Linked DNA regions of Pelodiscus sinensis. The protein of the gene in region 3 interacts with the protein of the main gene of each other region in a pairwise test. Links are inferred from orthologs where the notes say so. Each region holds a gene or a part of one and is shown on either strand. Other genes may lie near its edges. The genes, in order: KANSL1, NFU1, TFIP11 and FAM13C.

Evidence for each region.
Region 1: the proteins of TFIP11 (region 3) and KANSL1 interact in binary tests that used the Homo sapiens proteins (3 or more experiments, as listed by UniProt). The two-hybrid records come from large-scale screens. The link is inferred for Pelodiscus sinensis from reciprocal best matches to the Homo sapiens genes TFIP11 and KANSL1.
Region 2: the proteins of TFIP11 (region 3) and NFU1 interact in binary tests that used the Homo sapiens proteins (3 or more experiments, as listed by UniProt). The two-hybrid records come from large-scale screens. The link is inferred for Pelodiscus sinensis from reciprocal best matches to the Homo sapiens genes TFIP11 and NFU1.
Region 4: the proteins of TFIP11 (region 3) and FAM13C interact in binary tests that used the Homo sapiens proteins (3 or more experiments, as listed by UniProt). The two-hybrid records come from large-scale screens. The link is inferred for Pelodiscus sinensis from reciprocal best matches to the Homo sapiens genes TFIP11 and FAM13C.

The regions. Positions count from the first base shown.
Region 1 is NC_134739.1:6,915,746-6,923,331, reverse strand, and holds the start of KANSL1 (KAT8 regulatory NSL complex subunit 1), read right to left. Parts: upstream 3,010-7,586; 5' UTR 2,685-3,009; intron 1,807-2,684; 5' UTR 1,664-1,806; intron 1-1,663. UniProt on the Homo sapiens protein: Non-catalytic component of the NSL histone acetyltransferase complex, a multiprotein complex that mediates histone H4 acetylation at 'Lys-5'- and 'Lys-8' (H4K5ac and H4K8ac) at transcription start sites and promotes transcription initiation.
Region 2 is NC_134738.1:1,380,012-1,386,844, forward strand, and holds the start of NFU1 (NFU1 iron-sulfur cluster scaffold homolog, mitochondrial), read right to left. Parts: upstream 3,004-6,833; 5' UTR 2,899-3,003; coding exon 2,852-2,898; intron 49-2,851; coding exon 1-48. UniProt on the Homo sapiens protein: Iron-sulfur cluster scaffold protein which can assemble [4Fe-4S] clusters and deliver them to target proteins.
Region 3 is NC_134725.1:39,273,717-39,280,602, forward strand, and holds the start of TFIP11 (tuftelin-interacting protein 11), read right to left. Parts: upstream 3,007-6,886; 5' UTR 2,674-3,006; coding exon 2,342-2,673; intron 1,632-2,341; coding exon 1,478-1,631; intron 811-1,477; coding exon 654-810; intron 1-653. UniProt on the Homo sapiens protein: Involved in pre-mRNA splicing, specifically in spliceosome disassembly during late-stage splicing events. Intron turnover seems to proceed through reactions in two lariat-intron associated complexes termed Intron Large (IL) and Intron Small (IS).
Region 4 is NC_134718.1:21,958,216-21,965,057, forward strand, and holds the start of FAM13C (protein FAM13C), read right to left. Parts: upstream 3,016-6,842; 5' UTR 2,938-3,015; coding exon 2,912-2,937; intron 1-2,911.

The DNA.
Region 1 (7,586 bases), on a different chromosome or scaffold from region 3:
AATGCATACAGCTTGGCCAAATCTATACAATTCTACATTGTAATAATCACTACTACTTATATAATGCTTCTCCCAAAATCAGCGTACCTACATCAGCTAATCCTCAACTCCTTGTTCAGGCATATCAATATTATCCTAATTTTAGAGATGGAAAAAACAAGGCACAGAGAGTTGAAATAACTTATCCACCACAAATAGTAACTAGAAGATTTCCTATGCCAATGCTGAGTACACTAAACCATGCTGACAGATGCATGCAAAATTATAAGCACGTGTAACAATACTAGGATCCACGTAAACAGAGCAAAGAGAATATGGCAGCCATATACAAGCATTTCAGGGGTGTACACAACAAGAAAAGATACATTATTTGGGGGTTATTCAAAAATGGAACCTTGGACCAGTAGAATGAATCTAAAAGGGAGGGGGAAGTAGAATATCAGAAAGTGTTTCTTAATGGTGAGATTAGACAGACTGAAGCTGTGAATGCTCTATTCAATGAGTCAATTAAAAGTAGGCTGGACAAAGTATTAGACAAAATACCTTGAGGATCTGTCCTGCACTAACTGGAGTGATGGGGACTGCATTAAAATATACTAGATGGGACTCAGTAAATGTGCTCCTTTTCTTCATAATTTCTAAAATGTTTCAAATGTACTCACAATATTCTGTCTTCTGTATAAAGTGTTGACCTCATCAAGCCCTATCAAGTGTTTACAAAACACACACAAAAAAAACCAATACGGTTGGTAGTAGCAGGTTATAGCTTCATACAGTCAGAGTGGCGCTGACAGGATAGAGCTACTGTGACAATTCTAATGCATTTGGAAATCTCCAGATAACCTGACAAAGAGGACCAGAAAGTCTTTCAGATTGAATTGATTTACACCCTGGAAAATAATTTCTAACAATTCTGTGAATGATTAAAATATTAAGGAAGTTACTTGGGTCCCACATTTTCAGTAGGAACTACCCAACTTCTAGTTTACAACCAGTGGCGGCCCGTCAATACAGGCGTACTAGGCAGTCGCCTAGGGCGCCAAGATAAATGGCCGTTGAGGGCTTTGGAGGCAGGGGTGCCGATTGCACGTTTCGCCTAAGGCGCCAGTTGCTGGCAGCTCGTCTAGGGCCGCTCCTGTTTACAACATACAGTGACCTCCCAAGTACACTACATCAGGAGACAGTGTCAAAAGCTGATAAAGCATTTCTGGTACCATGCTGAATGATCCTGAAATACTCACCTAAAATTATAGTTATTAGTATAAATGAATAGGTTTTTTAATATTATATTCACACTTAAAATACATATACAAATTCAAAATAAGTTTCATATATATTTAAAAAAATAAAAATTCCAGAAATTAATTGTATTTTTTCCAATTTTACACCACCAATTTTCTTCCTCAGAGAGAGCCCAAACCTAAAAAGTTCACTTTCAGTATTGAGCTGTATTCCTGGAGTTCCTTTTTTGGTTAATTATGTTTCACGAAAGTGTTAAAGAGGTCCTGGATTTTAAACCTCTCCTGAGAATAAATGGTACCATCAGAATTCTAAACAAAGACCTCAACTATCATGGTGCTTTTCATAATTCAGGCATTTTTGTATTGAACAAAAGTTTGTAAACAAGGTACCAGTTTAAAAATGAAGAACTAGAAGTTCCTACCTTGCAGGACATCTTAATAAAATCCATAGTGTCTGGAGCAATTCAGAAAAGACTCAGGATGGAGTTCTGAAGGACTTGTAATCTTTCCAAATCCAACCAAATTCCGCAAATCTTTCTGATTTCAAGAAGTGGAAATCTTTTGTCTATAACAAAAAACAACAATAAAAAAAGAATCAAGGGAAAGAAATATAACTTGCAAACAAAACATATATGATACAACTAGCCTTAAGAAAAAAAAAATCAGGATTTAGAAAGTAGACATTTTATCACCAACTTCACCCAAAAAAGCACAATATATAGCAAACACACAAAACAAACTATGTAAAGAATCACAATAACTGGAAAAATAGACACACCTCTGTAAACTCCTGGAGGACAAAATAGTTGGAAAGTGCAGACAAAAATCTGCACACTATATAGATTAAATAATTCAGTTAAAGAGATGAAAGGAATGTAAAAAAAGGATTGGGATTTAAGCACCTAACTCCCTTAGGCTCTCATGAAAATTCTCTTTTAAGAAATCACCTCCATGAGAAATTACACAATCACTTAATTTTATGCCACATTTATGAATGCCTGCCACCCACTGAAATACATTTATTTTCCAGGATCAGGTCTTTGGGGGCTGGGGAAGGGAATAATTTACAATAACAAAAAAAAGTCATAGAGTTATTTCTGCCAGGATTTTGTTTGTTTTAAATCATTCTAAAACCCACCTTGGGAGTATCAAATATGCCATTTTTTTCAATGTTTGGGTAAAATGGAGGACTGGACAAATAGAAGACATCTAAGAATATTTTCTATCCCATTTCCTAAAACTGAATAGCTAAAGTCTTTACAGGCTCTTTGCCATGTTTGCTTCTGTGACGCCTTTGCCATGTTAGTGCCAGTGCCTCTCCTCGCCTTCTTTTGCTCCTGTCCATGCCTTGGGGATCGTGCATGTCTGTGGTCATTTTGTTTCCCTTAACACAAGTAAACAAACAAAACCCAAACGCCTGAGAAGCCACAACCGATGACTCGCCTGAAAACTCCAAGCCACGGCTCAATCTCGCTGCAGCTCGGGAGTTATAAAGTGTCCTTGCGCAGGCACTGGAAGCCCTCTCCAAATTACGACGCTCACCCCGAGCCCCCTCCAGTGTATCCGCTCTGCGAGGAGACGATCCGGGTGTCTCCCAGCATGCGGCTGGCCCAGGTTAGAGCTCATTCCCGGCCCCCTCTGCGGATGCCCCCTGCCCGATGCCCCAGCAGCTCCCAGCATTTGGCCTGCTCGTTTAGCCATCACCATTGTTGCAAAATGCCACAAAATATCCCCCCCCAATGTGGTGTGTGACTGAGCAGCTGCAGATCCCCCCCCCACCCCGTCTATTTGCGTTTCACGTCTAGCTGCAAAGTTCCTGCTCTCCCCCGACCTCTCCGTCCCCCACCGCCCCCCCAAACTCACTTTCTGGCTGTGCAAGAACCATTCCTCCTTCTTCCCCCGCCCCCCGCCTTGGCCTGGTGAATTAGCTCTGAGCAATCGCTCCTCTCTGCTTGCATGGAAGAGTCACAGGGGGCTGTGCTCACTGCAGGGCAGGCGACTCCACGGCCCGATCCAATAAAGTTCTGACCCTCCCCTCACCACCCTCGCCCCCAGCCCCAGTGACTCCTCGTGCAAAGTTGCAGGACGGGGGCTCCTAGCACTACTTGGCCTGTTGTCTATGGCAGCACCATAGGGGGTGATCGGTCCCTCTGCCAGCCACACGCTCCCTCTCCCCGGCAACATGCCTTTGCAAGGCTACAGCCCCCCCGCTGCCTTGCCCCGCAGCCCCTCGGCCTGCCCTGGCCAGGTGCCCCCCCGCCCAGCCCTCCACAGCTCCCCCTTTTTCCTCCCCCGATTGCACCAGCTCCAGCCTCTGCTCCCACATCCCAGCACCTACCTGCACAGCTCAACCAGCCTTGAAGTGGGGATCTTCCTCCCTCCTCCCCTCTCATTGGCTGTGGGGAGGGCCTGGGCCGGTGTGGTTGGAGGAGGGGGTGTCTGTCAGCGTCAGGGGGCGGGGCGGGAGGGGTGATTGATGCGGGTGTCTCGGCTTGTCCCTGCCTCTGCTTGTGTTTCCCGGAGATGTTTAAGGGAAGGGGAGGGCTGCATGTGGCTGCCAGGCAGGGCCCATCCACTGGATCAGTCCCCCCCCCCCCACTCACTCACCCTCATGCTTGAATGAGATAAGGGGCAAACTACACAGCCTGGGAATGGGGAGACTGTGTGAAATGGGCAGGGGGAGTCAGGGAGAGGGATGGTGAGAAAGAGGGCATCCTGTTGCACTCAGCATCTCTGCTTCTGAGGGGCACGGGGACCACTCTGGACCACAAAAAGACCTCTGCAGCCTCCAAGCTGAGAGAGGCTTTGACACACACCCGCACATGCCATCACACCACATCTGGGCCTACAGGGGGAAGGAAAAGCTGGGGCGCGCCTGTCACGTCGCAGCACGCCGCTCTGAGCTAGGAAACTCACCAAAGAGGGAGAGGGAAAAGCAGGAGGATTCCTGCAGTGAAGGTATCCCTGAATATCATATCCCTGCTGGTTTTAGAAGAAAAACAAAAGTTGCTTTTCCTGTTGTGGGCACACAATCTATTAGCAGTTCTCCCAAAGACTGTCCCCCTGAATAGTGATAGAAATCTATGCTATCATGTGCCGAAAGTGTCCGTCTGCTATGTACATTGGACAAACATCTCAGACACTTCGCCAAAGGATTAATGCCCACAAAACAGATATCAGACAAGATCACAAAGAGAAAACAGTTTCTTGCCATTTTAACCAGAAAGGACACTCTCTCAATGACTTGACCACCTGCATTCTGCTACAAAGACCTTTTACATCTGCACTTGAAAGGGAATCCTCTGAACTGTCATTCATGTTAAAATTCGACACTTGCCAACAAGGACTTAACAAACATTTGAACTATCTCACCCATTACCAAGACAGTTTCCCCAATTATCACCTCTAATACCATTAACTCACAAACATCCCACTCTCCCTACCTCTAATATCATCAATTCACAGACACTTACCTTCCTTTCTTCCCCCCCCCCCCCCGCATCCCCCTCCTGTTCTGCAATGTGATTTGTCCTTTTCATATTTGTTCATTTTTTTAATTGTATCCTTTGGTATATATGGTTGTGACTATTTTCTTCCACTATTTGATCTGAGGAAGTGGGTCTGGCCCACGAAAGCTCATCATCTAATAAACCATCTTGTTAGTCTTTAAAGTGCTACATTGTCCTGCATTTTGCTTCATGTCCCCCTGAACAAACTACTAGCTGAGACAGGGCAATTGTTAATAGGTTAAGTGCAAAAGCCCCACAAGGATGGTCCACTAACATATCTGTCACACATTGGAGGCCCAGATATAATCTTTTTCCAATGATCACACCCCACTGCCTCGTAAACCAAGAGTAGCTGAAACCTGAGTGGTGATGTGACAGCAATGCCCATAGCACTGCCATTGCTGTAGTGTGGGCATGGAGCCAGCTTGCTTGTTTTCCAGGAAACTCTAACCACAACCACAAGGGCCTTCCTTCCTCAACCTGCCAGGATTACAGTTCCAGTGCCAGGGCACCAGGTGTAGCTGCAGGTGGTACGTGCCACCTCAGCAATTAAGTCCAGTATAGTGCACATATTTAATTAGGAAGTTACTTCTGCTCCTGGTTTTTAACATGTTAAAATCCTAATGCAGACAAGACAATTTGCAGTTTTAACTCATTAGCCTGATAGACTTTTTCCTAGGGATTGCTTTGACCTGCTTACATGTTAAAATTACAGCTTGCTACATCAACACCAGGATGCTAACAAGTATTAGAACACACATCTCTTTTTTTTCCTAGAGAAGGCAAGACCATTATTTAATTTTTCCTGTTATATTGTACATTTTTTCATTGTCAGTGGAGTAAGAGTGGTTACTGCTGCTGTGGCAATTTCAGCAAGAATCCATGTCCGGGAAACCCAGATATGAAAAGCTGGTTTCTCAGCGCATGTGAAGTGGGTCTGTTGTAAGTTCTATTCAGAGATTTTTCAGTTGAGGCATAAGTCACATACTGAGCTGATAAACTTTCAGCTTTCAAGAAGTCTTTACATTTCCAGTAGTTGTTACCTCCCCTCCCAGGATCAGAAGACAAAGAAGGCCAACCATTTTAAAGTATGAAGCCCTTCCTGAAATGTAAGACTAAAAATGCTAAATTGTTAAGTAATCGGATTTATTTTAGGCACTTCACAGTGCAATGTTGAGTTCTGTTTATGCTTAATATTCTTTGCATAGAAATGGACAAATTATTATAGCATGCATTATGGTAGAAAGAGTCTAACCCAGGGCCTGAGAGTGATTAAATAATATTACTCAGTACTCTACATTTTGTAAGCACTGTTCAACTATTAGCAGGGTTAATGAGTTAAACCTCATGACCCTGCTATGAGATAGGTATAAATATCCCCATTTGGGGAAACTGAAGCAAAGAAAGGATAAGTGATTTATCCAAGCTGAGCTGATGGTAGAACTAGATCTCAGTTCCTCGTTTTTAGCTCCATGCTCTATCCGCTTGATCACATCTAAAAGAGTCATGTTTTTAACATTTTAAATTGAGGAAAGGTGAGCTGTGCCAGAAGCACCACTGGACTGCAACACAGAAGAAGGTTTGGGCATCCACTGATCTCTTTGCAATGATGGAACCCCAAAAGTCAAGATAGTGCAGTGTGGCAATCATGTAACAAAGCAACTTTTACCTTCTAGATATCTTTAAAAAGGGTGACTAAGTTCAGCTGTATGGATTTGAATTAGATTCTGTGCAAAACCATTCTTCCTTGAGTAGAGATTATTCTTTGCCATAGTGAGTAGGAGTAGTTTTCCTGTGGAGACATGAGGACTAGGTACACTCCAGCTTGTTGAAGTAGGCCAGAACTGTTCTATGTATATCATAATAAGCATAATAAGGATGTGTTGATTTGAATCCACAGTAGACAGGATTTTTCAGACTGCTCTGAATTCTATTACACTGGTGCTGTTCTGTCCCTCTAAGGAGATCAGAATCACTGGACTATTTGAAGTATAAGGGGAAACCCTGGACCCACTTAAATCAATGGCAAAACTCCCACTAACTTCAGTGAGGTCAAGATTTCACCCATAGAGTGGACAACCCCAATCCATGGAGTTCATTCATGGAACTCTGTGATCATTTGTTTGTGTGAAAAACTAGTCATCAGCTTTCCAGGGTGGGAGTCACAGGTGTCTTCAGAGCATCACATTGCACACTATAGCTCTAGCAAATAAGTAGATTACATCAGTGTAGGCATCTTAAAAGAAGATGGCTGTTACAAAACAATTTTTTAAGAACTGCTCCAAGTGTGTTGATTTTTAATACTGTAGGAAAGAACATCTGACAAAGGTGTCCAAAGGTGGCTTTGGCAAAATCCTTGGGGCCCTTAATACAGAAGATCTAAATCTCACCCACCTATACAAGCTCCATGGAGATATAAACTAAAGGCTAGAATCCATACAATTACTCTTCTGAACCTGTGCCGAGAGGAAGAAAATATGGACGTTCCCAGAGGCAGGATGATAATGAATTAAGCATGACCTTTGTTTTTGTTTTTTTATTATTAATTTCTTCTTGTAAGTTCAATAAACAATTTCTGCACTTTCTCCTAGTTTTATTCTTGACTAGTAGCGTCTTCAAACATGAGGAATTTTAATCTGAGGAAACATTTTAATCTAAAAGGGAAATGTGGGACTCCTCACTCCAAATCACACCTATATTGGAAAATTTTAAGGAAAATGTACTTGACTTTAGACATCTTTTTTCTTTGTCTTGATGTTACATGGCTTTCTGTGTCTTCCCCTCTTTTAAGATATTAAAAGTATGAGGAGCGTGATAATGAACTTCCTAAAGAGCC
Region 2 (6,833 bases), on a different chromosome or scaffold from region 3:
GGCTGTTTAGTTGTCAAGTTAAAGTCTTTTAATGTCATGCAAGAGAACCTAAAGAAAGACACAGATTTTACCAACATCATCTCAATTGAAAATTTCACACATTTAATATCGCTAGATTTCACCTTAAGGAGGAGATCAGGTAACACAGACTGTCAGCCACAGTCTTATTTTCCCCTCCTCTCAACTAGATGTTGGGGGAAAAGGGAAAATGGGGTTTCAATTCCTGCTCCCTAGATTTCTAAGTGGCCAAGTGATCATCACACAGCAAACATTTTGATTTAAAATTCACCAGTGGCGAGTGGTGGACTGCTGTGGAGAAAGGACAGCAGCTTCACTGGCTACATGTACTAATTCAAGAAGCAAGGTACCAATAGAGATATTCATATCCAGTCCCTGGAGATAAGCTATAACAAAAAATTCTTGTCTTTGCTGGTCAGGTAAACTACACCAACCATCTGTTGAGACGCACAGATCTTAAGTGAAGAAAATGGTGAAGAATATACTGGAAAGGACAAACCTGAAGAGATGGAAAGCTGAATTAAACTGATTTTCAAACTGTTGAATTGCATATCTGCACATCTGATTACCATTGTTATGTGTGTCCTTGTTTTTTTACCCATACAACTGTTCATTTTTATATGCAAATTCCTATTTTGTGCACTGCCACTATAATCACATGCACAAACTTGGCATAAAAATTAGGGATGAAAGCGACCAGTCAAGTAGTCGATTACCCGATAAACCTAGGTTTATCAGGTAGTTGAGTCGACCACTCACATTCCCCCCTCCACTTGCTGCCTGTATCAGAGGCAGCAAGCGAGGAAAAACAGGAGATGGTATTGGGGGGAACTGGCTTAAAAGCTGTTTCCACCTAGCACTGTCTCCATTGTGCTGCCAGTCATTCCCCCACCGCCCACGTGCTGCTGCCAGGCAGGGGGATTGGGGAGGCTACAATGAAGCAGGCTCACTGTGAGCAGAGGCTGCTCTACAGTCTATGAAGCAGCCTCTGTTGCCTCTGTTCGTGGTGAGGTTCCAGTGGGGTGTCTGTGTTTGCAGCCAGCTCCTAGTACATTTAAACTGCAGGGGGTAGCTCCTGGACCTGGCGCAAGGTGGGACAGAGTGCCTTCCCTTATGACTAATCATGGATTGTAGTTGATACAAATTGTATTTACTACATGAATCATCTGCATCTTAATATCCTTAATGAAAATATCCATAATTTGAAAATCTAAGCTAAGACTTCTAACTTCCAATGATCTGCAATGTCATACTTATCTATATTGATAGTCATGTTTATTGTTACTAATAAACACGTTCAATAATGACAGCAAAAATATTTTAAGATCTAATCTATATTTCTTTATACAGCTTAGTCTTTGCTTCACTCCCTACTGGTTTAGACAATGAAAATAATGAAATTAGTCCCACATTTATAGTCAATTTTGCTTTCAGAATCTTAACAGTCGTTGCAGACATTTGAATACAAAATGTAAGCAATTGGGAGAAATGTGAGTGTAACAGTCCTTTTAAAACTTTTCTTATTGCAGAAATGTAGAAGTTGCTGCCTATTCAGATTTTCTGGGATAGTTCACTTGGGAACGTATAAACCCAGTGCTTAGTGCAGCAGCCCACAGTTCATTCTCATTAGGTGTCTCACTCAAACAGAGCACTATACATCACAGCTACGTTTTCACTGCAGGCTTTTTGCGCACGAACTATTTTGTGCAGGAGTTTCTGCCCAAAAATTCTTGCGCAAGAGCGCATTCACAGTGCCATGTGCTTTAGTGCAAGAGCGTCCATGGCAGTGCGGATGCTCTCTTGCACAAGAAAGCTCTGATGGCCAGTTTATTCATAGGGGTTTCTTGAGCAAAAAAAAAACCCTGTTGCCCATCCACACTGCCTTCTTGAGCAATTGCTCTTGCACAAGAGAGTTTATTCTTCATGGGGAGAGGAATAACACTTGCACAAGAAGCCCTATTTTCTGATGCTTTACTGTAAATTTACTTGTGCAAGAACACGCACACAGAACATATGTTCTTGTGCAAAAAGCCTGCAGTGTAGACATAGCCCAAGGTCGGAAGCATAAGGTGACCTGTTGCATCCCTTTCCCCATACAATGGGGAAGAGCATGAATGATGAGGGAATCCCAGATGTCTTTAAGGTACTTTAGGATTTAATATTAAGGGTGGGTGGCAACCGCCCCCAGTTTTAGCAATGCTCATGGCTCACAAGCACAAAGTCGGGTGAGTAGACAACTACATCCAGCTGCTTATGGTTTCACCTTCCTCCCCGATGCATCCTTCCTCTCTGCCTGTGCTGGAGGAACTGACAAGAGAACCGAGCCCCATGTCCCTCCCCCACCCAGCAGACAAGGGCACCTCGCCTCGCACCGCAGGGTCCCGGCCCCCCAGGCTCCTCAGCACCAGGAGGTACAAAGAACAAAGCGCCTCGTGGCAGGCGGGGCAGCTCGCAGGAATTTGCTTGTGAGGCCAGAGGAGCCCTTGGGGCGAGCGAGTCTCCCGCCTTCGCGCTGCACGGGGGGGGGGGGGTTAACTGCCAACCCCCCCCGGGGGAGAGCGGGGTCAGCCCCCACCCGGCCTGGGGGGTTAATCCCTGACGCCCCCCGTGCCCAGCCTGCGGGGGAGGGGACGTTAACCCCGCCCCCTGCGCGACCTGGGGAGGGGGAGTGAGGGGAGTTAATCTGCCCCCCCGTGCCCGCGGGGGGGGGAGGGAGAAGGGGACTTAACCACCTGCCCCCCCGTACCCCCCCCCCCCCCGGGAAGAGGAGCTCGCCGCCCCGCAGGGCGGGGCTTCGCTGAGGCGAGCGCGCGCCTGGGCCGGGGTCACCTACCGGCCGCTCAGCCCCGCCGCCGCTCGCAGCCAGCGGCCCGCCGCCATCTTGGATGCCCCGCAGCGACTGAGGCTGAGAACCCCCCCCCCCCCCCAGTCGCGGGGCTGCCTGCGCAGGCGCCTGGTTTGGGAAGGAGGCGCAGGCGCTGGGGCGGCCCCTCGTGGCCGCGGCGGGGAAGTGCAGCGAGCGCTGCGCTGGGGACCCGGGGCGCGTGGCCCGCCCTAGCGGCGGAGACGGGGATGGGATTTGGGGCAGGGGCCTGGGGGAGCCGCATCGGTCCAGCCCATTGCATAGAGCAGGGTCGGAAGAGACCCCAGCAGGCCATGGAGTGAGGGGCCCCACAGTGCCCCTGGGACCTGCCCTGGCCTTCCTTGTGCTGCTGCATGGCCTCGGGCTCATCCCGCTTTTACTTGCAGCTCTGAAATGGCACACCCTCCCCCCATACCCTCTGCAAAAACCCGACCTCTGCCCACCCCCACAGGCAGCACCAAGCTACCTACGTGTTGCGAGACCTCCGCCTGTCACAAACTAGCAGGATTGTATATGCTGAGGTAACAGCTTGGAACAAAACCTTTACTGTTCAGGGTGCAAAACTGTTATTTGCAATATTTCCAACATTAAGTGTTCAAAATCCAGCCCTTTGCCCCCCCCCCCCGCAAAATCATAATGTTGGAACTGAAAAATAGTGAGATTTCAAAAAAATACAAAAATACTATGCAGCTGCTTTTATTTGCCTTCTAGTTTTTCTTTTTTACTTTATACTTTGCCAGCCCTGGTGAGGTGAGAGTTTGAAATTTACTGTATTTTGTAATTAAAACTGTGAATTTAGGTAGTCCCATCCTCCCACAATCTTAGGCTTTGAAAGAACCAAATCCCAACTCGTGCTGACCAGGGTATTCATTATTTCTGTTACAATACTAGCCACAGAACCTAACTAGGAACAGGGGTCCTGCTGTGCTGAGGGGAGGTCAAATGCAGTGTTGGTTTGAGAGATCTAGCCCTTGTGCTTGACAACATATTTTGTCTCAATATGATCAGCAGCCATTGTAAAAAGTGCAGTTCTTCACCTCTGTATTTCAGAGTCATCACTTAAACACAGATAAAAACAGTTACCTGCCTGAGCATATGCAGTGCAGAACTCACTCCCATTGAGCTCCACAATCAAAAATACAATCTTTGCCCACCAGCACAGACCTCCCGTCTAAGAAAAATGACAACAGCTGTCAACACCAAGGTGTTTGGGGCTTACTTGTTCTGTGAAGAGCTGTGTGCATGAAACCGCAGAAAGAACAGAGACTTTGGGTATGTCTACACTACAGAGGGTTTTTTTCAGAAAAAATTGTAATTTTTCCAAAAAACTTCAATTACGTCCCCACTGCAATCGTGTTCTTCTGAAATAAAATCAAAAGAACAGAGGGTTTTTTCCAACATTAGCAATCCTCATTCTACAAGGAAGAAGCCTTTTTTCTGAAAGAGCTCTTTCAGAAAAAGGCATGTGTGGATGGGAAAGAGGGAGTTCTTTTGAAAGAAGAGGAAAAAGAAAAAAACACAGATGCCCAGGTGGCCACTCTGTCCAAAGTAATCACAGCTGAAATGTGAGATAGCGTCCACACTGAATGGACGCTATCTTTCAAAAAAGAAGATTGCTTTTTCAATGTGGACACTCTTTTGGAGGAAGGTTTTCTGGAAGATCTCTTCCAAAAAAAGCTTATTCCGAAAGACGCCTGCAGGAAGGCAGCAAGGAAGCATAGGCCTACACAAACAGTGACAGAGAGGATTTTTGGGCTGAGTGCTGGCTGAAAGAGGATTGGCTCTACTAGTGAAGAAACTGCCTCCCACTGTTTGATTCCTTTTGAGTTCTGGCGAACAGAACTTTGTACACTCTTTGTAAATAAACAGAAACACAGAGTTACCGGATTCCGTCATTAATTTCTTCTCCTAATGGAAACAATCTGCAGGGCTCTGAATTTTGGCTAACTGCTCAGATTACAAAGGGGCAGGTAGCTCATCTGAATAGAAGTGTTGCACAAATCTGATGAAGAATTTGGCTAACTAGACTCTCTTCCAGCTAGTTTGCTAGAGACTTATTTGGTCTGAAAATACTGTATTGCACTAACTCATTCATTTACATTACACAGCCTTTGACACAGAGGTTCTCTGCTGTGCAGATGTCACCTACTGGGAAGCATGGTGTACAGCTATGCTGCTGAATAAGGAAGAAAGTCATTCAGGGGGAGCATTTGAATCCTAAATAATCTCACCAAGATCAGCACATCTAATGTATAAAAGAGAATGTAAGTTTGTGCACTAACAGCTTGGACACTACAAGAGCTACTGCAACCAAACTTTGCATGGGAGAACCTTTCATCCAGAAGAAGGTTTCAAGGTACTTTTGGACCCGAGCAGGCCCGAGCTCAAGCTGTAAAAATCAAAAAGTAACCTGCCGTGCTGTGCTGCAGGCGCTGCCCCACCCACCCTAGGTCCTGTGCCCGCCGCCTGCGGCTCCCAGCACCATCCAGGACTTGCCCCTTCCTGCCTGCGAGGTTACGTAAGCGACCCTTGTTCCCCCTCCCCACCTTTGAGCCAGCAGGCAGTTCCCCAACCCTCACGTGCACGATGGCTTGGGCACCTGCCCTGCCCCCCCCCCCCCCAGCACCTGCAGCCCCGGGTGCAAGCTGGGGCGCCCCTCGCACGTGTAACCTCCCTTCCACCCGCGGTCGCACCTCCGGGCTGATGTGGACCTATATTTTAATCCCTATAGAAATCAATGCAAATTTTCTACCATTCAAAAAAGATAATGGACTACTGTTTTTCTACATTTTGTTCCTCTGGTTTCCTGAGCAACGCTGGGTGACTCCAGCTAGTATTCTATAAACCTGTGATTAATTCAAAGGGAATTACCCTAAAACTTGGCCTCCTATAAAGATACCGTATCACTGCCACCTGAGAACTGAATAGCAGTTAGAGTGAGGTTGGTCACATCTGTTTTTCCAATTTCAGATTGTTGAGAAGAAAGCAGCAATTCAGTGGCATAAAAATCAATGGCTGCATCCAGACTGGCATGATTTTGCGGAAATACTTTTAACTGAAAAGTTTTTCCGTTAAAAGGATTTCTGCAAAAGCGCGTCTAAATTGGCAAAGATGCTTTTGCGCAAAACGTGCTTTTGTGCAAAAGCATCCGTGGCCAGTCTAGACGCGATTTGCGCAAGAAAGCCCCGATTGCCATTTTAGCCGTCGGGGCTATTTTACGCAAAACAGTTCTTCTCTGTCTACACTGGCCCTCTTGCGCAAGTCTTCTTGCACAAGAGGGATTTTTCCTGAGTGTGAGCGTGAAAGTATTTGTGCAAGCAGCACTGATTTTGTACATTACAAAGTCAGTGCTCTTGCGCAAATTCAAGCGGCCAGTGTAAACAGCTGTCAAGTTTTTGCGCAAAAGAGGCCGCTTTTGCGCAAAATCTTGCCAGTCTAGACGCACCCAATATGTTTTGCCCATCAGACTTTCTTTCAAGGGAGAGAGTTCCATTTGCCCATTGTTACCTACCAGCTCTGTGTTCTTGGGGAACCAGGGAGTGACAATCAGGGAAAACATTCCCCTCCCCCAGGCCTGTCCTTGAATCAAAGACAAAGCAATGAAAAGACAGGGGAAGACACACCTTCACCCCTCAAGACAAGGGTGATAGGATTAAGGAAACACCCCAGCCTCATCTGCATTGAAGATAGAACAGAGAGAAATCTCCATTAGCATGCAGAGTACAGACCAGCTCTTCCAAAGCAAGAACCACACTGAACTATGGGATACCGAAAGCAGAGAAGTACTGCCTGATGGGAAATCTCTGCTCCAGATGCTGCTCACCCCCAAATTTAGTCTTCCTCAGACCAATTCCAGTAATGGAGCCTATTGATATCCAAAATACTGAAACTGCCTAGTTGCATTGTGAGTTCTATCAAGGAACATCACCCACAGTCAGGCATGATCAGTCTC
Region 3 (6,886 bases):
ATCATCCAGTCTGGCATTCTGTCTTCAGCAGTGATAGGATTTTGTACAGTTACACATTTTTATATGTGGCCCTAATATATTCAGGTACTTTTAAAAATCCTGTTATAGCATGTTCCTCTGACCTCCGACTCCAATGAATTCTATAGCTCAGCAATACACTGCACAAAATAGCATTTCCTTTGGTTACAAGTTGACTGTCTTTTAATCATAGAATGCTAAAATTGGAATGGATCTCAAGAGGTTATAAAATCCAGTCCCCTGCCCTCATGACAGGACCAAACACCATCTAAATTGTCCCTGACAGATGCCTATTTATCCTACTCTTAAATACCTTTGGTGATGGAGATTCCACAACCTCCGTAAGAAATTTAATCCAGTATTTAACCACCCTGACAGTGAGTTAATTTAATCTTCCTCCTTCTGTCTCCTCATACTAAATAATCAGAGACTGACATGGGTAGTAGACTTCACAATTTCATTCTAATTACTGCTGTAATTATTTAAAACTAATATAATTGGATTTAATCTTGAAGATCTGAATTGGCTGAAGAAGAGGTGGGAAAACAAAACCAAGTTATTCAGTGTCTCAAGGTTGCAGTTTCCTTAAAGAATCCCCATCTTGGACCCACACTCTTGGGGAAAACACACAGTACCTTGAGCATTCTTTCCAAGCCCTCTACCAGGAACATAACCCATTTTCTGAAGAAGCTTCTGCCCTATTCCTTTGGTGTGTCTCTCCCAGCTGCCAAAGTCCATGAAAGATTTGGTCCCACCTACAAATCCTTTCTGGCTGGGTTTGAAATTGCCACCCTGTTCAGAGAAAAGAAAAAACAACAGGTAAGTGATATAATCACCAAGCTCCTGGCTGCCTCAAGAGGGGATCTCCTCTGAGGAGCCCCACCAGCCTGCAGTCTGCGCTGCTCTGTCAGAGCACCCCCAAGCCACTGCTAGAGTTGGGGATTTGTAGCCCTGCTCCTATTATGGTCTGATCTATAACACACTATCATGAGCAGATACAAGTTGGTTCCTGATATTTTGCTTTTCAACAGTTGAAAAATGGGTTTTGATTCTTAATCCATTTAATTGGCAATTTGCTCATGCCAGCCACATTCAGTACTGTAAAAAGAAATAATTACAAAAATATTTATCATTGATGGGTGGAAGCAAAACTGGGTCATTAATTTACTTCAACTTCATTCAACTCAAAATGATTATCAATGAAGAGAAGAGGCTTAAGAGGCCTGGGGAAAAGATGAGCTCCCGAGAACCTAACACAATCCATGAAAACACATAAAGAAAAGCCAAGGGATATTCTTTCCCCCCACGGCAAACCAGTGTCACAAACAGTTCTGTGATCTTACTCAGCCACTGTCCTCCCTTCTCAGCTGATGTGTTACTAAAGCAGTATCTAGACCATACTGTGGTTGGCACTCCATAAATAATTGTTATAAGTTTCAAACTTTCATGAGTAACTCACTGTTTTTAACTTCTTTGGTACAAACTCTTTAGGGAGTTCTTCTTGCTTAATGGGCTTCTCATCTTCATCTGAATCTTCTTCTATCACTTCCTCAGCTGCAGCTTTCCTTAGCCCCGCACTGATGAAGTTAACGGGGGCGGAATAGTCACGAGAGCTACACAAAAAAGGGATTTCAGAGTCATGCTATTGTTCCACTGTTCCATTGAATTTGAACTTGAAATGCATACACTCAGACACCTTAATGCAATCATTACTGGTCCCAAAATAAACGCAATGTTAAGAAATAACATTTAAAAGCTGTTAAATTCAAACTTTTGTATTTCAGTCATAGAAAGTGTTGGTTTTGCATGTGCATGCAAGACTCTCTAATGAGTTGTAACTTAGCACAATGTTGATCTTCTTCATGAACTTGGCAATAAGGAAATGAATCTCGGAACCAAACTATACATGAAAAATTCAATCTATTTGATAACATGCTGAACTAAATAGTAACCCCTCACTGCTCCCACAGATACCTTTCAAAGCCATTACAATCTCAAATTGGCCACAGTAGCACAAAGTGTTTCCAAGAGACTAAGCCTTTTGAAGCTAGCACTATACATCAAGTGACTGAGTTAGTGTCAGAAAAACTTACATAATCAAATATTCTATAGAATGTATAAAGGCATCTCCCCAGTAGTTCTTTGCAAATGGACAGAGAAAAGAAAACCTCCAGAAAGTGAAAAATCCAATAGTGCTACATAAAGGAACTGATATCTCCTTTGGACTATTATTTTAGCTTATCGGCTATGCTAACCACTAACAGAAGATTCTTGCTGTTCACAGTACTGCCAGAGTTTGCAAGACACTGGTAACTGCCTGTACCGTTTGCCTCCAAAGCTGGGCCTCTCATCATCCGAGTCATGCTCAGCCCACACGCCATAGGTGGCCTCCTCCTTTGTCTGCCAGTGGCGCTGGCGGTTGGGGTTGAACTCATTCTGCAGGTCCCAGTCTGTGATTTCAAAGTTCTCCATCTCCACGTCGTCGTCGTCATCTTTGCCATAGAGATGGGACATTGACATGATGGCCTGGGAGAGTTGGAGCAAGCAGCTGGTCAGGGGGTGGATCCAGAGAGGGCTGGCAACAAAAGTAGGGGGCATAGACAGTGCAAGAGGGTGACATGGGATGGGTGTGAAGGTAAGGAGAGCAGGAGGCATGGCTAGTGAGGTGGTGGGTGACACAAGGACCAAGGTGTGAAGGGGATGACATGGCACAGCCAGTAGCACACAGGAGCAAGTGAGACAAAGCACAGGCAGCCATGACACACCAGGGCAAGGCAGCAAAATGGGGGGAGGGAGAGAGAGAGGGAGAGGTCTCAGCTGGCATAAGGCAGTGACAGGAAGAATGGTGGGGGGGATGAATCAGTGAGTGCAAGCCCAAAACAGGGTGAAGAGTACTTAGCTGGTGACCTGGAGGGAGGAAGCTTGGACAAAGCAAGGAGGTGACACTGGGGTGGAGAAATCATACGGTACAAGGCAGTGACATGGAGAAAGGGGGGGGGGGTTCGGCCGGCGCGAGGGGCTGACACGAGGGGGGGTTCGGCCGGCGTGAGGCGCTGACACGGGGGGGGCGCGAGGCGCTGACACGGGGGGGCGGGGTTCGGCCGCCGCGAGGTGCTGACACGGGGGGGGGGGATGTTGGGCCGGCGCGAGGCGGTGACACGGGGGGGGGGGTTGGGCCGGCGCGAGGCGCTGACACGGGGGGGGGGGGGTTCGGCCGGCGCGAGGCGGTGACACGGGGGGGGGGGGGGTTCGGCCGGCGCGAGGCGGTGACACGGGGGGGGGGGGTTCGGCCGGCGCGAGGCGGTGACACGGGGGGGGGGTTCGGCCGGCGCGAGGCGGTGACACGGGGGGGGGTTGGGCCGGCGCGAGGCGGTGACACGGGGGGGGGTTCGGCCGGCGCGAGGCGGTGACACGGGGGGGGAGGTTAGGCCGGCGCGAGGCGGTGACACGGGGGGGGGGTTTGGCCGGCGTGAGGCGGTGACACGGGGGGTGGGGGTTTGGCCGGCGCGAGGCGCTGACACGGGGGGGGGGGGGTTTGGCCGGCGCGAGGCGCTGACACGGGGGGGGGGGGTTTGGCCGGCGCGAGGCGCTGACACGGGGGGGGTTTGGCCGGCGCGAGGCGCTGACACGGGGGGGGTTTGGCCGGCGCGAGGCGCTGACACGGGGGGGGGGGTTTGGCCGGCGCGAGGCGCTGACACGGGGGGGGGGGTTGGGCCGGCGCGAGGCGGTGACACGGGGGGGGGTTGGGCCGGCGCGAGGCGGTGACACGGGGGGGGGTTGGGCCGGCGCGAGGCGGTGACACGGGGGGGGGGTTAGGACGGCGCGAGGCGCTGACACGGGGGGGGGGTTGGGCCGGCGCGAGGCGCTGACACGGGGGGGTTGGGCCGGCGCGAGGCGGTGACACGGGGGGGGGTTCGGCCGGCGCGAGGCGGTGACACGGGGGGGGGGTTCGGCCGGCGCGAGGCACTGACACGGGGGGGGGGTTCGGCCGGCGCGAGGCGGTGACACGGGGGGGGGGTTCGGCCGGCGCGAGGCGGTGACACGGGGGGGGGGTTCGGCCGGCGCGAGGCGGTGACACGGGGGGGGGGGGTTCGGCCGGCGCGAGGCGGGTGACACCGGGGGGGGGGGTTCGGCCGGCGCGAGGCGGTGACACGGGGGGGGGGGTTCGGCCGGCGCGAGGCGGTGACACGGGGGGGGGGGTTCGGCCGGCGCGAGGCGGTGACACGGGGGGGGGTTCGGCCGGCGCGAGGCAGTGATACGGGGGGGGGGTTCGGCCGGCGCGAGGCAGTGACACGGGGGGGGGTTCGGCCGGCGCGAGGCGGTGACACGGGGGGGGTTTGGCCGGCGCGAGGCAGTGACACGGGGGGGGGTTTGGCCGGCGCGAGGCGGTGACACGGGGGGGGGGTTGGGCCGGCGCGAGGCGCTGACACGGGGGGGGGGGGTTCGGCCGGCGCGAGGCGCTGACACGGGGGGGGGGGTTCGGCCGGCGCGAGGCGCTGACACGGGGGGGGGGTTTCGGCCGGCGCGAGGCGCTGACACGGGGGGGGGGTTCGGCCGGCGCGAGGCGGTGACACGGGGGGGGGGTTCGGCCGGCGCGAGGCGGTGACACGGGGGGGGGGTTCGGCCGGCGCGAGGCGCTGACACGGGGGGGGGGAGTTCGGCCGGCGCGAGGCGCTCACACGGGGGGGGGGTTCGGCCGGCGCGAGGCGCTGACACGGGGGGGGGGGGTTCGGCCGGCGCGAGGCGCTGACACGGGGGGGGGTTCGGCCGGCGCGAGGCGCTGACACGGGGGGGGGGGGTTCGGCCGGCGCGAGGCGCTGACACGGGGGGGGGTTCGGCCGGCGCGAGGCGCTGACACGGGGGGGGGGTTCGGCCGGCGCGAGGCGCTGACACGGGGGGGGGGTTCGGCCGGCGCGAGGCGCTGACACGGGGGGGGGTTCGGCCGGCGCGAGGCGCTGACACGGGGGGGGGGGTTGGGCCGGCGCGAGGCGGTGACACGGGGGGGGGGGTTGGGCCGGCGCGAGGCGGTGACACGGGGGGGGGGGGGTTGGGCCGGCGCGAGGCGGGTGACACGGGGGGGGGTTGGGCCGGCGCGAGGCGGTGACACGGGGGGGGGTTAGGACGGCGCGAGGCGGTGTCACGGGGGGGGGTTGGGCCGGCGCGAGGCGGTGACACGGGGGGGGGGTTGGGCCGGCGCGAGGCGCTGACACGGGGGGGTTGGGCCGGCGCGAGGCGGTGACACGGGGGGGGGTTCGGCCGGCGCGAGGCGGTGACACGGGGGGGGGGTTCGGCCGGCGCGAGGCGGTGACACGGGGGGGGGGTTCGGCCGGCGCGAGGCGGTGATACGGTGGGGGGGGTTCGGCCGGCGCGAGGCGGTGACACGGGGGGGGGTTCGGCCGGCGCGAGGCGGTGACACGGGGGGGGTTCGGCCGGCGCGAGGCGGTGACACGGGGGGGGGGGTTCGGCCGGCGCGAGGCGGTGACACGGGGGAGGTTCGGCCGGCGCGAGGCGGTGACACGGGGGGGGGTTCGGCCGGCGCGAGGCAGTGATACGGGGGGGGGGTTCGGCCGGCGCGAGGCGGTGACACGGGGGGGGGGGTTCGGCCGGCGCGAGGCGGTGACACGGGGGGGGTTTGGCCGGCGCGAGGCGGTGACACGGGGGGGGGGGTTTGGCCGGCGCGAGGCGGTGACACGGGGGGGGGGGTTGGGCCGGCGCGAGGCGCTGACACGGGGGGGGGGTTGGGCCGGCGCGAGGCGCTGACACGGGGGGGGGTTCGGCCGGCGCGAGGCGCTGACACGGGGGGGGGGTTCGGCCGGCGCGAGGCGCTGACACGGGGGGGGGTTCGGCCGGCGCGAGGCGCTGACACGGGGGGGGGTTCGGCCGGCGCGAGGCGCTGACACGGGGGGGGGGTTGGGCCGGCGCGAGGCGGTGACACGGGGGGGGGGTTGGGCCGGCGCGAGGCGGTGACACGGGGGGGGGGTTGGGCCGGCGCGAGGCGGTGACACGGGGGGGGTTGGGCCGGCGCGAGGCGGTGACACGGGGGGGGGTTGGGCCGGCGCGAGGCGGTGTCACGGGGGGGGGTTGGGCCGGCGCGAGGCGGTGACACGGGGGGGGGGTTGGGCCGGCGCGAGGCGCTGACACGGGGGGGTTGGGCCGGCGCGAGGCGGTGACACGGGGGGGGGGTTCGGCCGGCGCGAGGCGGTGACACGGGGGGGGGGGGTTCGGCCGGCGCGAGGCGGTGACACGGGGGGGGGGTTCGGCCGGCGCGAGGCGGTGACACGGGGGGGGTTCGGCCGGCGCGAGGCGGTGACACGGGGGGGGGTTCGGCCGGCGCGAGGCGGTGACACGGGGGGGGGGTTCGGCCGGCGCGAGGCGGTGACACGGGGGGGGCTCGGCCGGCGCGAGGCGGTGATACGGGGGGGGGGTTGGGCCGGCGCGAGGCGGTGATACGGGGGGGGGGTTCGGCCGGCGCGAGGCAGTGACACGGGGGGGGGGTTGGGCCGGCGCGAGGCGCTGACACGGGGGGGGGGTTGGGCCGGCGCGAGGCGCTGACACGGGGGGGGGGTTCGGCCGGCGCGAGGCGCTGACACGGGGGGGGGGTTCGGCCGGCGCGAGGCGGTGACACGGGGGGGGGGGGTTCGGCCGGCGCGAGGCGGTGACACGGGGGGGGGGTTCGGCCGGCGCGAGGCGCTGACACGGGGGGGGGTTGGGCCGGCGCGAGGCGCTGACACGGGGGGGGGGTTCGGCCGGCGCGAGGCGCTGACACGGGGGGGGGGGTTCGGCCGGCGCGAGGCGGTGACACGGGGGGGGGGGTTCGGCCGGCGCGAGGCGGTGACACGGGGGGGGGGGTTCGGCCGGCGCGAGGCGC
Region 4 (6,842 bases), on a different chromosome or scaffold from region 3:
GGCGGGGCATCCTATCCACTGAAGCAGCCTGTGCTAGAATGGTGTAAGAGCAGAGTTCAAGCATCCTTAGCGTGAATCTAAAGTCACACCACGACAAGGCAGTTAGAATACCCCTCCCCTCAGACAACATTGACATTGTCTCTTATTCTTGTCTCTCCTGAGCTCACTCACACTATGCATACTGTTCTGTAGATTCAAACTTGAAGAAGGAACCATTGTGATCATCTCATCTGACATTTGGCATGTCACAGGCAACAGAATCTCACCCACCCACTCCTGTCATAGGCTTTGTCTAGATTGCAGGCTTCTTTCAGAAGAAGCTTTTCTGGAAGAGATCTTTCGGAAAAAATTCCTCTGAAAGAGAGCGTCTACACCGCAAAAGCGCATCGAAAAAGTGAAAGAGAGTGTCCAGACTGAATGGACTATATCCCACATTTCAACTGTGATTACTATCAATGGAGCGGCCACCAGGACACTTAAATTTTTTCCTCTTTCCTCTTCTTTCAAAAGAACTCTCTCTTCCTCATCCACACATGCCTTTTTCCAAAAGAGCTCTTGTTGGAAAAACCCCTCTGTTCTTTTGATTTTTTTTAAGAATGTGATTGCAGCATGGACGTAAGTGAAGTTTTTCCAAAAAAACTCTGCAGTGTAGACATACCCATAAATGCCTGACCTCTAGCTGAGTTACTGAAGTCCTCAAAAAATGCTCTAAAGACTTCAAATGACAGAAAATCAACTATTTACACCAGCTCAAAGTAGTAGTGACCCATGCCTCAGTGCCGGAGGAAGGCAAATTAAACCTAGGGTCCCTTCTAATCTGACCTGGGTGAAAATTCCTTCCTGACCTTATACAAAGTGATTAATTAGACTTTGAGGGTAGAGGTGAGACCCAGCAGCCAGACACCTGGAAAGGAATCCTCTTCATAAACTCAGAGCTTCACTGTCTAGTGTCCCATCTCGGGCTACTGGGGAGATATCTGCTACCAGCAGTTGCAGATAGTCCATGTGACATTACAGGCAATCTCATCACACCATCCCCTCTCCATACTTCCCAGATGCAGCTTTGAAACCAGTTAGGCTTTGTGAACCCACTGCTCCCCATAGAAGGCTATTCCAGGACATCACCCTTTGACCGGTGGTTGTGCAGGTGATGTCGCCGAGGTTACGTCCACACTAGCTCGATAGTTCGAGCTAGGTAGGGTAATTAAGCAAGCGGAGTGGCAAATGAAGCCTGGGATTTAAATATCCCGGGCTTCATTTGCATGTTCCCGGGCGCCGTCATTTTTAAATCCCCCTTAGTCCGAACTCCGTGCCCGCAGCACGGAGTAGGTAGTTCGAATTAAAGATCCTAATTCGAACTACTGTTACTGACCAATCTGATTAGCTTCTATGATGAGGTAACTGGCTCTGTGGACAAGGGAAAGTCCACAGTGGATGTGATATATCTTGACTTTAGCAAGGCTTTTGATACGGTCTCCCACAATATTCTTGCCAGCAAGTTAAGGGAATGTGGATTGGAGAAATGGATGGTAAGATGGATAGAAAGCTGGCTAGAAGGCCGGGCCCAGTGGGTAGTGATCAACGGCTCAATGTCAGGATGGCGGTCGGTTTCTACAGGAGTGCCTCAAGGTTTGGTTCTAGGACCGGTTTTGTTCAATATCTTTATTAATGAGTTGGATGAGGGGATGGATTGCACCCTCAGCAAGTTTGCAGATGACACTAAGCTAGGGGGAGAGATAGGGTCCAGAGTGACTTAGACAAATTGGAGGATTGGGCCACAAGAAATCTGATGAGGTTCAACAAGGACAAGCACAGAGTCCTGCACTTGGGACAGAAGAATCCCAAGCATTGTTACAGGCTGGGACCAACCAGCTAAGTAGTAGTTCTGCAGAAAAGGACCTGGGGGTTATAGTGGATGAGAAGCTGGATATGAGTCAACAGTGTGCCCTTGTAGCCAAGAAGGCTAATGGCATATTAAGTTGCATTCAGAGGAGCATTGCCAGCATATCCAAAGATGTCATTATTCCCCTTTATTCCGCTCTGGTGAGGCCATATCTGGAGTATTGTGTCCATTTCTGGGCCCCCCACTACAAAAAGAATGTGGATGCATTGGAGAGGGTCCAGCGGAGGGAAACCAAAATGATTAGGGGGCTGGAGCATATGACTTATGAGGAGAGGCTGAGGGACTTGGGTCTGTTTAGTCTACAGAAGTGAAGAGTGAGGGGGGATTTGATAGCAGCCTTCAACTTCCTGAAGGGAGGTTCCAAAGATGATGGAGAAAGGCTGTTCTAGTAGTAAAAGATGGCAGAACAAGGAGCAATGGTCTCAAGGTGTGGTGGGAGAGGTCCAGGTTGGATATTAGGAAGAACTATTTCACTAGGGCTATGTGTACATTGGCATCCCTTTCCGGAAAAGGGATGCTATTGAGACACTTCGGAATTGCAAATCCGCGGGGGATTTAAATATACCCCGCGGCATTTGCATTTCTATGGCTGCTGCTTTTTTCCAGCTTGGGGTTTTTGCCGGAGAAAAGAGCCAGTGTAGACGCGATTTTCCGGAAAATAAGCCCTTTTCCGGAAGATCCCTTATTCCTACTTGAAAGTAGGAATAGCAAAAATTTATAGCAAAAAAAAGTTTATAGCAAAAATTCTTGTCATAAGTACCTAAGTGCATGACCTCACACACATCATTAAATGTAATTCCAATTTTCATGATCTTGACTATATCATACTAGCTATAACATTGTATCATCTGAAAATGTTATTAGTGCACATTCACACCAAGATCATTAATGAAAATGTTAAATAAGACCTGTCCCAAGATAGAGACCTGAGGAACTCCATTAGCCTGACATTTCACTTTTTTTAGTATGACCCTTTGTAGTCTCCCATTCAACTAGTTCCTTATCCACCTTTCAATTTTCATACTAATCCCCATTTTCTTTCATTTAACTCATCATATCCCATGTGGAACTGTATCAAATATCTTATTGACATCCAGATAACTTCGATCTACTGCGCAGCTGCAGGAATGTGGACTCTGCACCCAGAAGTTCCATAGCTATTACATGTCACCCCAAATCGGCATTATGATGCAATCCAACCAATCAATGCTCATTTTTTAGTTCCAGAACCTGTACTCCATCATCTGTAGCTGTTCCATGCACTCAACCAATAACCTTGAATTGGTCACTACATCCCACAGCAATCTGGACTCCAAGAAATCAGCATGTTCCCTGGTGATTCTGTTCTTCCTACTGCACTGCAAATAATGGAGGATTATGCATTCTGTGTTTGCAACTTTTTCCACAGTAGGGCAAAGATGTTCAGGCTAGATGTTTCTAGTACTGATGGCAGATAGCAAGGGGGTTCCTAGGATTTTTTTAAAATTATGTAATAGAACTGACATTATAGGATGGGTACAACTGCATGCTGGAAAGTTGACTGCTTACTCCCAATCACTTCTCATGGTTCATTTCTTCCCCCTCCTCATATCCATCCCTAGGCATTACCAAAAATTCCTAAAAGACAGTGAGCTGGCAGCTTGCACATGGGAATACTTACCATTGTATCTGCTCTGCATCGACACAAGCACTCTTGGGACATGTGTACACTAAGAAACTATTTTTAAATAACTAAATTCAACTTAACTCCAAATTTTACAAAATCAAAATAGCTTGTCTCCACTACAGAGAAGCCTCAAAATTAGTCTGAGGCAGGCACCATTAATGAGGACATACTACCTTGACTTGGAGCCCAGGAACCACTGGCGAGTAATTAGTTTGAATTACCCTGGGGAGTAGTTATTTCAAAATAGTGGCACCAGAGTGTTCACACTACCACTATTTTGAAATAACTATTTTGAAATTAGCATTATTCCTGAGGAAAGCAGGACTGCAGACTTTGAAATAAGCAATAACACAATTTTTGAAATTACAGGCTTGGTAGGGTGGATGGTCCATTTATAAATTCAACAGAAGGGGGTGTTATTTTGAAATAAAGCGCTAGTGTAGACCAGGGCTTGGAGAGTACATAGTGCCAGTTCAAGGAACCAAGTATGCGTGAGCTCAAGTGATAAACTAACTGGGGCTATATGTCACTATAACTTGTGTTGACTGAAGTCTACAATGCAGACATGGCCTTCGATGACTAATCACTAAAGTGTTATGACTCATGATTAAATCACAAGGCTCATGGCATTTGGATGTTTTCTTAAGGACCCCAGATATTGGAATTAAGGAGTTGCAAAAGGGTCTCAGCTTTAATTTTTTTAAAGTTGGTTTCTAGGCCACTTGTTTCTAGAGAAAAGTTTGAAAATGTGAAGCAACTGTGTCCTTAAGCTAGTGCTGTAAGATGCCAAACTGAGTCGCAAAAGGCAAATAAAAAAAATAAAATGCAATATTTTAAAAATCTAATTTAAAATAAATAATCCCAATTCTCAGGCTAATCTGTTGGTGTTTGGAGGCTTGACTCTTGATTTTTGCCTTGGTGCTGACAGTACTGCTGGTATTTGAACCATAATTCAATAGGGGAGCCATTACTTAATGGACACCATGTTGCATCAATAAGAGAAAAGCCTTGGGTGAGCTGAAAAATCAGATCAAAGTACTTCTCATACATGCTGAAAATGTCTTATAACTTGAGAGAATGAGCACAGAATGGTCTGGTAAGAATAACCTCTGCATTCTTACACACGCATGAGGATGATTGCTGGCTACTTCACAATCTCTGTAAATCCACTGAAATAAAATGCTACTATTTAGGGTAGAATTTGGCCTTAATATGGAGCTCTGAGCAATATTCACAAGGGCTACGTCTACACTGGCCCCTAATTCCGGAAAGTCATGCAAAGCAGGTAAGTCAGAATAGGGAAATCCGCGGGGGATTTAAATATCCCCCAAGGGATTTAAATAAACATGTCCGCCGCTTTTTTTCCGGCTTTGGGAAAAGCCGGAAAAAAGCATCTAGACTGGCGCGATCCTCCGGAATAAAGCCCTTTTCCGGAGGATCTCTTATTCCTACTTGAAAGTATCCCTCCTACTTGAAAGTAGGAATAAGAGATCCTCCGGAAAAGGGCTTTATTCCGGAGGATCGCGCCAGTCTAGATGCTTTTTTCCGGCTTTTCCCCAAGCCGGAAAAAAAGTGGCGGACATGTTTATTTAAATCCGCGGGGGATATTTAAATCCCTCGCGGATTTCCCTATTCTGACTTACCTGCTTTGCATGACTTTTCCGGAATTAGGGGCCAGTGTAGATGTAGCCAAGAAGCATAGTATTCACAGGAATTAGGAGGGGGAAAATCCATGTCTTGAAAGGCACCATCAAACTGTTTAAATTAATCATGTTAATGTTAATGTCAAACGCCTATGATTAAATCACTTTCTATTTTTCATTTGTTTATGACTCATTTGCATGCTTAATTTCATTTTTTTTTTTGGCTGATGATACTTTTAGTCACTGTTTCTGGACAGACTCTCCATGCCAAAAGCAGTACTGTAAAAATAATTTGGCATTGTTTTGTTTAAAACAGAGCCACATTAATAAATACACAGAAGAGAAGACATGCTATAAAGTGGGTGCACAACTGGTTGGAAAACGATACGCAGAGAGCAATTATCAATGGTTCACAGTCAAGCTGGAAGGGCATATCAAGTGTGCTCTGATAGTGATCTGTCTTGGGTCCAATTGTATGCAATATCTTCAGAAATGATTCAGATAGTGGCATAAAAAGTATGTGTTCAAACTTTCTGGAGGATACCAAGCTGGTAGGGGTTGCAAATGTTTTCAAAGATGGGATTATAATTCAAAATGATCTTGACCAATGTTTCTCAACCTTTTTTTTTATAAAGTACCCTTTTTACAAAATAAATCATAAATAAATACCCCCAATACCTACAGTTTTCAGACACACACAATTTTTTTTCCACCATTGCAACACATTTGTTTATACCACTTAATTGTAGCTGGGCAGGCGATGAAATTTTTGGGAATAAAAAGTACAAAAATAATAAAGTGCTGTACAACTTAAAACAAAAATTCAGTTTTCTCAAAATTTCAGTTGTTTTCATGTATCCCTCCGCCCCCTCTCCTCCCCCGACTTCTCTTGAGTACCTCTAAGGGTACCCGTACCACTGGTTGAGAAACACTGATCCTGATAAACTGGAGAAATGGTCTGAAATAAATAGGATGACATTCAATAAGGATAAATGTAAAGTACTACACTTGAGAAGGAATAATCAATTAGACAAATACAAATGCAAATGACTGTCCAGAAAAACGTACTGCAGAACCTGGGGATTCTAGTGGATCACAAAGTAAATATAAGTCAACAAAATAACAATGTGCCAAAAAAAAGCTCACACTGTTCTGGGATGCAGAACTGTTTGTAAGCAAGATATAAAAAGTATTTTTTTCACTCTATTCAAGGCCTTAACTCGAGTATTATGTCCAGTCTAGGAAACACACCTTGGCTACGTCTAGACTGGCTCCTTCTCCGGAAGAGGCATGCAAAGCAGGCAAGTCAGAATAGGGAAATCCGCGGGGGATTTAAATATCCCCCGAGGGATTTAAATAAACATTCCTTGCAAGTAGGAATAAGAGATCCTCCGGAAAAGGGCTTTATTCCGGAGGATCGTGCCAGTCTAGACGCTCTTTTCCGGCTTTTCCCCAAGCCGGAAAAAAAGCGGTGGCCATGTTTATTTAAATCCCTTGGGGGATATTTAAATCCCCCGCGGATTTCCCTATTCTGACTTGCCTGCTTTGCATGCCTCTTCTGGAGAAGGGGCCAGTCTAGATGTAGCCCACGAGAAAAACTTGGACAAGTTCGAGAAATGATTAAAAAGAT